2 linked regions of the Caenorhabditis elegans genome follow. The protein of the gene in region 1 interacts with the protein of each later gene in a pairwise test. Each region holds a gene or a part of one and is shown on either strand. Other genes may lie near its edges.

Region 1 (4,992 bases):
TGTCGAAAATATTTCCGCTCTAATATATTTCAAAATAGATTTTTTCCATTCTCTTGTTTTCTTAATATTTTTTTGCAAATAATTTATAATTTTTAAGCAATCTCATTATTCAGGGTTACCACAGTAGTCATGACCAAGCTGAAGTGCAAGTCTCTCCGCGGCGAGAAGAAGGATGCCCTTCAAAAGAAACTCGACGAGCAAAAGACCGAGCTTGCCACTCTCCGTGTCTCGAAGGTCACTGGAGGAGCTGCCTCTAAGCTCTCCAAGATTCGCGTTGTCCGCAAGAACATCGCCAGACTCTTGACTGTCATCAACCAGACCCAAAAGCAAGAGCTCCGCAAGTTCTACGCTGACCACAAGGTTCGTTAACCGTGTATTTAAAAAAAATATATAACTTGTGTAATTATTTTCAGTACAAGCCAATTGATCTTCGCCTCAAGAAGACCCGCGCCATCCGCAGAAGACTGACCGCTCACGAGCTTTCCCTCCGATCTGCCAAGCAACAGGCTAAGTCTCGCAATCAAGCCGTCAGAAAGTTCGCAGTCAAGGCTTAAGTGGCTTGTATTCATTGTTATCCATTCATGGACATTGTTCTGGTTCAATTTCAATGAAAATTGTTGCTTATGTTAGTAATTTTGACATTCATACAAATCAAAAAAAGTTCATTGAAAGATTGTATCTAAGTTCACCTGGAAATACACAAAAATATTTAAAGTTCAAACAAGGGGTTAAGGCACCAGAAACACCAATAGTCATTTTTCCTACAACTGAAGAAAATTTTTGTACATTGCTGTCAGCGTTTAAACAATTATTTATCGATTAAGCTGCGTCCGGAGCTGCAATTGGAGTTTCATTGATTTCTTCCGTTGACTCGAAAACGATTGTAGGAATGTGAACGTCGAAAAGAACGCCGTTCTCCCTTTCCATTTTAAAACGACCCCTCAAAAATAGTGATGATTCGTGACAAAATAAACGAAACTTTTTTCTTACCACATGTGTCCGCCTTTCGTATGTTTCAGTTCAAGTGTACTGCTGAATTGGAAAGCCGGAGTTGCTGCGTTCAATTCAGGTTGCTTTCCCACGACACCATGTCCATGCATTTGATTCATATTGTTTAATGAATATACCTTGAGTGTTCTTTCTCTTAAAATCACCCCGTTTTCTGGTTTTTTATTCTCGATCCTGATGACATATCTCCACATATGCTGCTGCTGTCCACCAACCATATTGGCACCAAGATAGAAAGTCATCACAGTTACTTCTATGTTTTCAGTTCTTTCCCGATAGACGTCACGAGGTCCAAGCCATGATCTGTTTGGATTTGTGTATCTTTCAACAAGTTCTGGCTTCATTGCAATATCATAAAGTCCAATGCCATCGTGAGATGCGTTGAAAATGTGGTCGAAGAGATCGTGGTCAAAATTGACACCTCCGGATGGAGTAAATGGGATAATATCTTCATGTGAGACACAGTCCATACCACTGAAAATAATTTTTGAATTGAAGGAGTTTTTATTATGAAAAAATTTCTTTAAAATATACGAAATCATATTTTTATTTTGATTTTTTAGAAAACTGATTTTGTCGCTTTCAAAAAAGGTGTTGGTGTTGAGGATTGTTCCAATCAATAATATTTTTTAATTATCTCATTTACAAAAATCACCGTACTTGATTAGAGTCAACATTTTTTGTCCGTGTCTTTTATTCTCCATTGGTGCATCTACCAAATACGATGTAATATCTACTGGGAATCCCATATGACTCCAGTCATAGCGATGAATGAGAACTTGGTAGAAATCACGCGTAAGAAGATGCTTTTCGCTAAAAAAAAATTTAAAATCAGAATAGCAGAAATTTATTGCTACTTACTTTTGTTGACTTCTTTTTTCATGTAATCTACATGGAAAAGAGCAAACAACGACTCCTTTGTAAGCAAATGTTTTGTGAATGAAAATCTGCAATTTAATATTTTTGCAAAATAACTGGATTGAGTCAACCAACTTGTCCAGCTTCAAATGTTGGTTTATTAGTTGATGGCAAGAGAAGTCCAATTTCTTTCAATATTGGCGTTGTGGCGCTTCTGAATCTTAAAAATGATGATTATCGAGTCTGAAATCATCTATAAATTACCTTGACAGTAAGACTTTCCCAGCGGAAAAGTTTCTTACACTGTGCTGAATAGCACTTCGAAGTTTCATATCTGAAATTGTTGGAATAAACATGAATTTTTTCAGATTTTTTGAGTAACAACGGGAATAAACCACGGAATCATAGATGTCAGGAAATACAAATATAACAACTTTAATTAAATTTATGCAAAAATTCTACACGAAAAATACTGAATATCACCTAGAAAAATGGAATTAAATGAAATTTTAAAAAGAACAAACAAACAGGAATAAATTATTTTCTTGGTTTCATCCCCTTATGAATCGAGCACACTCCAAATGTCAAATTCTCGTATCGAACATTACTAAAGCCTTCTTCTCTAATTATTCTTGCAAACTCGTCTTGATTCGGGAATTTACGAATACTCTCAACCAAATATTGATAACTGGCACGATCACTGGCAAGAATTTCTCCAAGAACCGGGATCACATTGAAGGAGTATGCATCGTAAATTGGTTTCAGTGCAGAATTCACTTCTGAGAACTCCAAAATAGCAAGTTGACCTCCAGGTTTGAGTACACGAAAAGCTTCACGAACAACCTTTTCAGGGTGTGTACAATTTCTGATTCCGAAGGACATTGTGAACAGATCGTAAGTGTTCGACTCAAATGGCATTTGCTCGGCGTTAGCGCATACCCATTCCGCGCGAGATGGTTGGATCTGAAGTAATACATTAAGGATATGGAATTTTTTCAAAAACAATTACATCTCTCTCCTTCTCCGCTCGTTTTTTTCCAACATCGAGCATTGGTTGATTAATATCGGAAACTGTCACTTTTGCGGTAGGCGAATGTCTGAGAATTCTGAAAGCGATATCCCCGGTTCCTCCTGCCATATCCAGACATTTCGCATTATACGGTACTTGCAGGCCACCAACATAATAGTCTTTCCATAATCGGTGAACTCCCATGCTCATTGCATCATTCATCAAATCGTACTTTTTCGCGACGTTTGCGAAGACGTGGTGAACTAAAAAAAGACATATAGTATCAGTAAATTATATAGATGTGTTGGAAAAGGGCTTATTTTATGTAGAGAACTTTGTGATTATTATTTGTGGCTATCAGCTTTTTTACGTTTCTGAATCGAACAGCTAACCTTTCTGCTCCTTCTCTGCCTCATCAACGTCAGTGAATCCAAAATGTGTTTTCTTTCCGGGCTCTGACCGTTTATTATCTGAATTGACTTGATTCACCGAAAACTGCCGGAAATTTCCAACGTTCGTAGGTTTTCTCATGCTTTTAAATAAGTTTGTTGCTCCTTTCATTCTGAAAATAAATGAGTTTTAATTCGGACAAAAGATGAGAAAATTTTGAGAACTTAATTGCGAAGTTGAATGATAAATTAAGTGATAAAAATCACGATACTCTGAAAGTTCTTGCAAGAAATATTCTACCGCATTTTCCCGTGGAGATTCCTAGGCCATCACTCCATAATGAATTTTGAAGAGACGTATTTCTCGTTTTTGTGGTATTTGTACACTAAATACTAGCGTTCGAACTACAATCTTCATTTAAATTTCACTCGAACTTTAACATATGAAAAATAATTGAATTATATTATAGTTCTTGATCACGCCATCACTGGCCTAGGTTCCGTCAAGTGGCCGAGTTTTGTAAGAGACACTTGGCATTTTTCCAGTTTTTCTCTCCTATTGTTTTTCAGTTTTTCAGGTTATTTTGTGCATTTCTGTTATGTCCTTTTCTTTATCAATTTGTTCGACTTTTTAAAAAACAATTTTTCAAACAAACTGGACGATTATTATTGATTTTATGCGAGAGATTTTCAGGAATGTCGGGTGGAACAGCAGCAACAACTGCCGGTTCCAAGGTGACCTTCAAAATCACTCTAACAAGTGATCCGAAGCTCCCATTCAAGGTGTAAGTTTTTATATTTAAATTTTCGGTTTACTTTTGATTTGGAGTTTTGCGTCATGCATTAATTTTTCAGCCTCTCCGTGCCGGAAAGTACCCCATTCACCGCCGTTCTCAAGTTTGCCGCTGAAGAATTCAAGGTCCCTGCGGCTACATCAGCAATCATTACGAACGACGGAGTTGGCGTCAATCCAGCTCAACCTGCCGGAAACATTTTTTTGAAGCACGGAAGTGAACTTCGTCTGATTCCACGTGATCGCGTCGGCCATTGAGCATAAGCCAATTGTTGTCTACATTCCTGTATTATGACATAATTATTTTTACAAAATGTGATGTCTCTGTGCATTTCTATCCTAAACTCGCTAAGTCAGATTTGAATATCTAAATTCTTCTAAATATTAATTTATTGAAATTCCCCTTTCCAAAGTACGCTATGAAGCTTTTTTCTCAAACTTGTTCAATCAATTTATCAATACTGGTTGCTCTTCCGCATTTTATCTTACTTTTTTAAAACTACTTTACTTTTAGTCTTATATTATTTTATTTAAGATGAAGCTCTCCCCAGCTACCAAGTCTTTCATCGGTAAGACAGTCGATATTTCCACATTTGCAATCCAATGGGGATTCGTGCCGTTTGTGGTCTACCTTGGATTTAAGAAAGGCGCTGAGCCAATGCCAAATGGACAGGTAAAAACTAGAAAAAGAAACATTTAGTTTTAAAATCACGTCTCCGAGAGAGCGTAATAAATAAAAAATGCGTCCCATAATACACAAGATTCAAACATTTATATAGATACCGCATTTTCTTTACAAGTTTCTCGTTGTGTAAATAGAACAATTGCATGCGAGACGCTGCCAATTATTTTTTAATTTATTTGTCAAAAGTTTAAGTTTTACCAAAAACACCTATGCTTTCAATTCAAAGATTTAAGAATTCATATTTCAGATC
Region 2 (8,724 bases), on another chromosome or scaffold:
GGAGAGTATATATTTCAAGACATTGTAGTCGCGAAATAATTGTTTCCCTACTTGAACTTTTTTATCAAAGTATTGATTTAAAATTAGCATAAATATTTTTGCTGAAACAGTGAAATCTCAAAAATTGTTAACATTTTCGGTTTGGACGAGAAGTGTTGTTTTTTCAATTTGAAAAAGTAGTTTTTGAGAAATTTCTCTAATTTTGACTTTTTTCTAGAAAAAACTAACAATATATAGGTAGGCGCGCCTTCACAGTTCCTGCCTCATGCTTGTTTTTCTGTGAAACCATATTATGGTGTTTGAAGATGTTGAGTAATTTTTTAAAAAAATTTAAAAAATTTAAATTTCAATTAGTTTTTGGACTGTATGCATTCGAATGGTGAGTCTTCTTGGCACATGTTTTTAACAACTTTATGAAACTGCAGAATTTTTTAAATACCATTTTTCTCACAGTGAAAAAAAAAACCGCAACTAAATTCCTGAAATTTTGAATCGCCTCTCAAAATCACAATTTTTGAACTCATTTTACCTGTGTGAACAAGTTTTCAATTTTTTTTAAAAAGCTGATTGCGCCACTCTTAACAGTTTTGTCCACTCTCTCTGTTATTATATTTGTAAGTTTCAGAACAGACGTATAGGCTCTAACTGACCATAAGCTCCAAAAACATAATAAAGTTTGTTTGGGGGGTCAAAATCAGTGGGAACACACTACAATATTCTGTTCCTATCTTCTTTTTCAACGCTCAGCTCTCAATCCGTCCCGATGTCAACAACTTCCCAAATTGCAACAAGAAATTTCCGTCTCTTTCTTCTTTCTGTGTATTTCAAAAAGCCCTCCGTGTATGTCTATCTCTGCCTATTAATTTCCGCGTTTAGCGTTGATACGAGCTCTCGTTTTTCCTTTTTCTTCTTCTTTTTTTGAGTTAAAGTAGGAGAAGCTCTCCGAGTTTTGTTAAAGTTGAAGAGAAAATGAGTAGAATTGAACTGAATTTATACATTCATGTCTGGTTTTTAGATATATATATATACATTTTTATATGTGTGTTTAATATTTAACTTTATCTAGGAAAAATAATTTTTTGTCTGAAAATTATCCCCAATTTCCAAATACTTTTATTTTAAAAGTTACTGTTTCAAGAAACTTTTAAATCATTTTGTAAATAGTTCATAGTACTCGAACTTCCGGATTTTAATGTTAAAAAAGGCGTCCTCGATCACAAATTTACGTGTGGAAAATAAGTTTTAAGAACAACTGTTTCATGTAAATGTGAAAACTTTTGAGTTAAAAAAAATCAAGTTGATGTTAATTGTCCCATTAATTGGAATGTGTTAGAGATGTTGCAGTAATACAATTGCTTATTTTACTCGAATTATCACCTAAAAAAACCATATAAAATACTTTTTCACTCAAAATCCTAGCTGATTCATTTTTGATTTTTTTTTCCATTTTCATCAATTTCTTAAATTATTTAGACCAAATAAATAAAAAACGTTTTATTGAAAAATTCGGGATAGTATTTTCTGAAATACATAATTATTTGAAAAACTATTCCAGAATATTGAACACTTATAATATGCAAAATAAAGTTTAAAAATTGTTGAGTCAAAGTTTTGAAAAATTATAAAATTTTATTGAAACAGTAAAATTATATTTGGAAACCGTATTTTAAAATTATTAGTTATAGTTCACAAAACCAGGAACATGTGAAAATTTCGTGATCATTTAATTTTTCTGGAAATATTTTAGCTAAATTTAATAATTTTTTTTTCGGACTTTTGAACAGCCAAATAGCAGGTTTTGAGAAATTTCTGAGAAATCTCATGAAAACAAGTTTTTTAAAATACATAATTTCGTGTGTTTTAGCAGATATTCCAAATCCTAGAAAAAATACCATATTGAAAATATTGTAATCATTAGAAAATTGTGTGTCCGTTTTTGTATTTGGAGATTTTTGTGGGTGTCCCACTACATTAAAAGTTTTAAAATAATAGTTTGAGCAATACATTTTCCTCGATAATTTTTCTCGTTTGTGTGAGGAGTTTGTATTGATGTATTGATGTATGATGTTTATTTTAATTGATGTTTAGAAAATTAATCGATAAAGGAAATTTGTTTAAAAAAAACTAACTTCCTGAAACAGCAAAATTATTTTTGGAAACCCGTTTTTTAAATTAATTTAGTTTAGGTAACAAACAGGAACGTGAAAATTTTTTGTGTCAATTTAATTTTCTGATTATATGTACTTCTTATTAGACGGAAAAAAAATGCCAGTTTTGGTTTATTTAAGTACCACAAGAAACATATTTGTGTTACACTTTTTCCAACATACATTCAAAAGGAAGTAAAATAATGTTTACTGGATCGGAATTCAATTTAATTTTTCTCATTTCCCGTGCTTCTCTTTTTCTCTCTATTCTTGTCATGCTCTGTGTGTTTTTTTCGAAAAATGTATATATCTTTCACCTGTCTGGATATATTTTTTTCTTTTCAAAAATGAATTTCCGTCTCTCTATTTCCAGGTTCATATATAAATTTCTAATTTTCAGAGAAAATCAGTCAAAATCTTCAATAATCGAAACTTGGGAGTGATAGGATGTTCGCGATTGCTCATAACTCAATCCTTCGGGACTCGCTGGCTGGAATTCTGCAATTGAGTCCGGAAAGAGTTTTTGATGAGTACAGGCCACCACCATTCACAGGTTTGTTATTGAAAATTCCTAAATCATAAAATATTTCGTTAACAATGATTTTCAATTAGAAAAAAGTAAAGAAAAGTTAATTTTTAACATTCACGAAAATGCTTTAAAATTTTAACTGAACCTTTTTTAATAACACCGAAAGACAACTGAACTCTCTATTTGTTTTAAGTTCACTTTTGAAATTTTTTTGAAACAGCTGTTAATATACAGTAAAGTCGTTCAACTCTTTCCCTCAAATGATGCTATTAGAAATTTCAATCTTCTAATGAAAAAATTATAGTTGTATAATTTTAATTCAATTGTAAGCACTCTTAAGATACATCAAAACTTTGATAAATATTTTTTGAAACAGTGAAATTTAAAATAAAATAATTACAGGAAACATCGTGGTTGGAGTTGAAGATCTTCGTGACGCCAACCTCCGTTTTGCAGTCAGATATTTCCTTGCAAATGTATGTTTTCTCTTCAACAGATATTTCAAATTATTTCAATTTCAGGTGGAGAAGAGTATTTCTCTATTCATTGTAAAACAGGAATGGAGTGAAAATGATGAGAAATTCTTTGATGATCTTGTGAAAACTGAATACAGAAGAGCTCATGATCTAAATCAAGTTGCTATTGATCGTGTCAAGTTAGTTGGAATTTATATATATATATAAAGAAGTTGGATTTTTCAAAATCTCTAGAATTGGGAAAAAAAGCGAAGGAAGCGCTTATTGTTTTTCATAAATATATGTTCAAATTATATTTTTTGTGAAACAGATTTTTTTGAAACGATTCGCAGAAGTTTTTTCTTTAAAATGGGGTTTTTTTTCGTAAATGAAAAATATAACCAACTATCGTTAAAAACTTTTGAAACTTTGATATTTTCAGAAAAATATTTTTAAAAGCCATTACAGTAAGCTTCCTGATAACGAATGGAAAAGTGATCGACTGGAACAATTGAATGAATGGAGGACCATTCCAGCCATCAATTATAGTCTTCTCACGCTAAATGATAATCTGAAAGTAAGTTCTAAACTGGTTGAAATATTTAAAAATTTGCAGACATGTATAATGCTGAAAAAATTTCTTGAGGCGGTTAGAACTAATGATCGTATTAATAAATTCATTAAAATAACATGCTGAAACAGTATAAATTTTACAACCAAAAAATATTACAGAATCAAATCGACGCGCTCGCCAAAGTGACACCATGCACGATTTCTGATGACGAAGAACAAATAACAAATAAGCCACCAGTTCTCCATTGGACAGCCGATCCATTGGAAGGAGAAATTCAGTTTATTGCTCAATTAAACTTTCCATTGTCTGGACCAGACGACTCGTCATTCCGAGAGATTTGTCGACTCTTGAAACCACATTTCGAGACATCTTATGAATGGACAGGAGGCATTTTGTTAACAAGTGATCCTGTTCGATTGCATGTTCAAAGATTCAATGATACACAAATTGAACTGGCTGCAAGGATTTGTGTTGATGAGTTGGAAGGTAAGTTCAAGAAATCTACTGGCAAAGTATGCATTCGAGAATACTTGAAAGTATATAAATATTTTGAAACAGTAATTTTTGGACTTCAAGAAGAAGTAGTGGATGTGGGGAGGATGCTTAAAAGTATAAAAGTATAGCACAGATTTAATTTTTTACTGTGGTATTTAAAGAAAAACGGGAAAATTCGTTAACAATGTGAAAAAAAAACATATTAAAAATGCTTTAAAATTTGAATTAGCGAGCAAATTCTTCCCTTTTAGAATGTTCTTTTTGCGTAAACTAGTGTTTTGGGCAGAATTTTGTAAGCTATCAAGTTCATCATAGAAAAAATTAAAATACCGAAATTGTCCTTTCGCTGAAAAAAATCTAAACGGTTTGTAGTTTGAAATCAAGTCTTTTTCGATCTATTTTTCAAATTTTGAGCTGCATTTTCCTCCAGCTTCACCAAATTTTGCTGTTTTCTTTGTCATAAATGCTAGTTTAATGAGGTTCTTTATGCAATTTCGGGACATGTATTGAATTATATGTCGGAAAATTACAGGAATGGCGCCATTAAGAACACTCATTGTTTTATTTTAGCCTTTTTCAAATTTTCAAAAGAAATAATTCGTTTTGAACAAATTTGTCTTCAAAAGTGTGTGTGACGTACATGAAAAATCAACATTAAAATTTAAAAAAATATATATACAAACATTCTGAAACAGTAATTTTGAAAAAAAAAAAATCATTTGTTACAGGAGATGAAGCCGATCGGCCGATTAGATTCATTTGGCCATACCTTGCAGTTTCGCTGAAACAGGCACTTCAAGTACTCGGGGAGCATCCACATCTACAGTACTCGGTAAGTATTCTAAAAATTGCAAGTCGAAAACTGAAAGTATACTAAGAGATGATAAAAATATTTCAAAATAGTTACCTATTAATTAAATGTCCAACTTGAAACATTATATATTTTAATTTCAGATCTCATTTGTCCCATTTGGTTCGATCTTCTTCAAATCATCTGAAATCGAAGCTCGTGTGTTCGATGCAACAGTATTCTGCTCAACTGCTCTGAAATACGATAAAGTTGGATTCCGAGTGGGTGAAGATGTACATCATGTGGATATTGCTCATATATTTCCCGATGGAACATATCCATCACTTTCACGTCTTTTATCAATGAATCCTCCATCACCAAGATTTTCTCGTCCAGAATCTGTTAATGATTCAGTTTCACCTTCATTGATGTCAGAGCCACCGACTCCTGGAGGTTTAGTTGCACCACATAATAGAGGAAGACGAGTTTCTTTTGGTAAGCAAAGAGCGAACTGGGTGTATTTCAAAAAAAAGTTTAACTGAAAATTAATTCAATGTTTCAATATAATGATAAAAAATTAAAATAATAATGTAAAATTGCTGGATAAAGAATCTTTAAACATTATTAAAATTTAATCGCATTATCCTGAAAATGCACTTAAATTTTGAGTAGAGTTTAAAATACACAAAATATTCTGAAATTCAAATTCAGAGAAAACCAATCAGCGATTTTCTCCACCCACTTTTCAACCAGTCATATGAAGTGTACCTGATTGGTTGGAAAGAGGGCTTCTCATTTTGGGAGAAGTTTTAAAATCGAAATTTGCCAAAATTAAAAAAAATTAGACTTTTATTTGTTTTTCGTTTTTTGTGATATTTTGAATTTCAGGCTATTTCGGGTAATTTACAAAACCCCAATTTACAAGAAAACTTGACAATTGCAGAAATTTATGAGGTGTCAAAAACCCAAAAAAAACTGGAACCACAAAAAAAATATTGCGATTTTCGAGGCACTAAACTGTAATTTGGATTATAATACGATACCCGGTCTCGAAACGATCGACACTTTCCAGCTACAGTATCCGCGTATTTTCTTTGCATTTTCTGCTATTTTTTTCTATTTTCAAAAATTTTCCAAAATTTTTGAAAAGTTCAACAAAATATGTATTTTTGCGAAAATATCGGAAAATCCAGCAATTGGGTAATATTATAAATACATTTTTTGTGGCGAGACCCGTTTAAATTGATCCGTGCGCCTTTGAGTATGATTTTCAATAAATTGCGAAATTAATAAATAAATAAAAAACACTGTTTCACTCCTTTCATGAAAAAAACTAAAAATGTGTCAATTCGCTGGCAATACATATTATCTTTTTCAGGAACCATAAAGCTAATGTCTGATGGTCCTACAACTCCAGAAATTCCAATTCTCAATGGAAATTCGAACGATGGATCAGCAAAAACAGTCGACGCATTCATTGACAAAATGCTTCAACAGACGATGGATCAGCTGGCAGTTTGATCGAGATTACTGTAGACATCACATATTTATTTTTCCTTTTTCTTCACAAAAAAATCCCTTAAACACAATCAATTCTCTTTAATTAAAAAAACATGTTTATTCTTTAAATTGTTTATTTTGAATTTAAAAAAATAAAAACCGATTGGCTGAGAACAACAACAACAGAAAAATGAATAAATATGAAAAACAGTGGCAAAAGTAACGACGAACGGAAGGATAGATAACAAAAAAGAGTAAATTAAGACGATGAAGCTGCTTTCGATGCTTTTATTTTCTTCATCTGAAAAAAATATTTTGTTTGTTAGAATGCACGTTTCTTTCAAATCTTACCATATCATTAGCATTTTTAGTTGCCTGTAGCAGTGCCTGATATTGAGAATGATTCATTCTAACTTCAATCGGTGGAGCTTTCACTTTCTCGGCTTCTTCTTCTTTTCCAACAACAACCTTCTCTTCAGAAGCTCCATCCTGCTCTTCTTCTTCTCCATTTCCTGCCAATTTTTCTGCATCACTCAACTTCATCGAACAAACATCTCCATTTCCAGTTCCACGGCATTCCGCTTGAAGGAGAAGGTTCTTCGGGAAACCGGAAATCATTTTGCGTGCTTCGTTATTTGCAACACCCCACAAAAGAGACATATTCATCACGTCGACTGGGGAACGGAGATCAAGCATTGTTTCAGCACCGGATGAGAAGATTATGTTCTTCGATTTTAGGGATCTGATCAGGACTCGGCCGTTGAACAATGTCTGGAATTAGGAAATTTTTGAATTGGAAATTACAGTTTAAATTTTTAAATATTTCAATCTAAGATCTTCCGTTTTGTCATCTTTTTCGTGTCGCAGCTGTCGGAAATCAATTTTTATTGCATATTTTAATCGATTTTCTCGCCTTTTTGTAGTGATTAGGATACATTTTAAGCCGAAAAGTACCTAAAAATGACTTATCGGCTTTAAATATCCTTCGATTAACAAAATATTGAAAAAAAAATGCAATAAAATATGACATTTCAATAAAAATCACATTCCTGGTGCTGCGACACAGATAGGTTGACAAAATTCGGGATTTTGACTAAAATAAGCTCTTTTTTTTCGATCTTTTGAACCGACATATTTGGCCAATCTCACATTTTTCCGTGTGGCAGGCATCAAACTCTCTGCATATGCAATTTCGTAGAAAACTCCATCGTTTCGAATTCGATCCATCACTTTCGACACTGACAACCATTTTCTCTGCAGAGAAACAGGTTTTAGTTTAATTTTTCCATTGAAATTCCACTAAAATACCCTTTCTTCCTCCAAATGATCAATTGTGATAATATCGAAAAGCTCAGTTTTTCGTGAAAGTGTGTCAAGTACTGATGGCTCGCCCGGGCGAACGGCAACGATGTCGTAGGACTGAAATAATTATTTTCTTATGCTGAATAAGAAAAAAAAACTCACCAAAATAGTTGGGTGAATGAAAACTTTATTGATAACTACTTGCTCATTTGCAGTAAATGTAATTCTACTGAATTGACGGAACACTTTTCCACGTTTTTCGAGTTCCGAAGTATTCAATTGACTGACATCCACGTAATGCGGTGGCGGGATCAGCTTTTTCTTTAAAATTCCAGCAATTCCATCTGCCAACTCATCTTTTCGTTGTTGTTTCTTTTTCTTTTTCTTCGGAGGTTCCCCATCGACATTATTCTGACTTCCTGGTGTCCAAAGCATGTCGAGCTGAAAATTGATTGATAGCTTTAAATTCAAACTCCGCTTCTTACTTCTGTATAATAATCGGAAATATCTCCCAAATCAATATTAATTGCTACGGCGTCGTAGCCCATTCGGATAGCTCGTCTCACCATCGCAAGTGTACTGAAAATATTATTTATTGCCTGGAATCTTGAACAATTTACTTACTTTTCGGCATCAATATGTTTGATGCTAAGATCTGCGTATTGAAATGTTGTTTCTGGAACCATCGGTGTGAATTCCATGTGCCTGAAGTAATTTATTAGTTTTTTAATAATTATTTTCGTGATTTTCGAAATTTAAGCACTTCGATGAAGATATAAAGTAATCAAAACTTACTTTTTTCGAATAGATGTTTTATTCTCTGACATTTTCTGCAAAAAATTAAGTTCTAGAACGAATAAACCGTAAGAAACGAATAATTTTGCCGAAAAATAAAAAAAAAACAAAATTTCTGGTACGACGCTCCGAGATTA

Evidence for each region.
Region 2: the proteins of ufm-1 (region 1) and H35B03.1 interact in a two-hybrid assay, tested with the Caenorhabditis elegans proteins (one large-scale study listed by BioGRID).

Annotation. Positions count from the first base shown.
Region 1 is NC_003281.10:7,855,021-7,860,012, forward strand, and holds ufm-1 (Ubiquitin-fold modifier 1), read left to right. Parts: upstream 1-3,958; 5' UTR 3,959-3,960; coding exon 3,961-4,049; intron 4,050-4,119; coding exon 4,120-4,315; 3' UTR 4,316-4,492; downstream 4,493-4,992. Other genes in the region: rpl-35 (Large ribosomal subunit protein uL29), read left to right, coding at 130-360, 414-554; tag-307 (ApaG domain-containing protein), read right to left, coding at 820-940, 991-1,482, 1,669-1,821, 1,870-1,955, 2,002-2,086, 2,131-2,222; coq-5 (2-methoxy-6-polyprenyl-1,4-benzoquinol methylase, mitochondrial), read right to left, coding at 2,404-2,829, 2,876-3,138, 3,268-3,436; tomm-7 (Mitochondrial import receptor subunit TOM7 homolog), read left to right, coding at 4,593-4,730, 4,990-4,992. UniProt on the Caenorhabditis elegans protein: Ubiquitin-like modifier which can be covalently attached via an isopeptide bond to substrate proteins as a monomer or a lysine-linked polymer.
Region 2 is NC_003282.8:5,723,053-5,731,776, forward strand, and holds H35B03.1 (START domain-containing protein), read left to right. Parts: upstream 1-2,547; 5' UTR 2,548-2,594; coding exon 2,595-2,700; intron 2,701-2,825; exon of another isoform or gene 2,826-2,851; intron 2,852-3,078; coding exon 3,079-3,152; intron 3,153-3,197; coding exon 3,198-3,331; intron 3,332-3,599; coding exon 3,600-3,708; intron 3,709-3,766; exon of another isoform or gene 3,767-3,787; intron 3,788-3,863; coding exon 3,864-4,191; intron 4,192-4,196; exon of another isoform or gene 4,197-4,217; intron 4,218-4,717; exon of another isoform or gene 4,718-4,867; intron 4,868-4,928; coding exon 4,929-5,032; intron 5,033-5,154; coding exon 5,155-5,485; intron 5,486-5,590; exon of another isoform or gene 5,591-5,611; intron 5,612-6,343; exon of another isoform or gene 6,344-6,364; intron 6,365-6,368; coding exon 6,369-6,511; 3' UTR 6,512-6,662; downstream 6,663-8,724. Other genes in the region: H35B03.2 (Ribonuclease P protein subunit p30), read right to left, coding at 6,750-6,791, 6,842-7,261, 7,640-7,744, 7,799-7,909, 7,955-8,233, 8,278-8,371, 8,417-8,497, 8,588-8,619.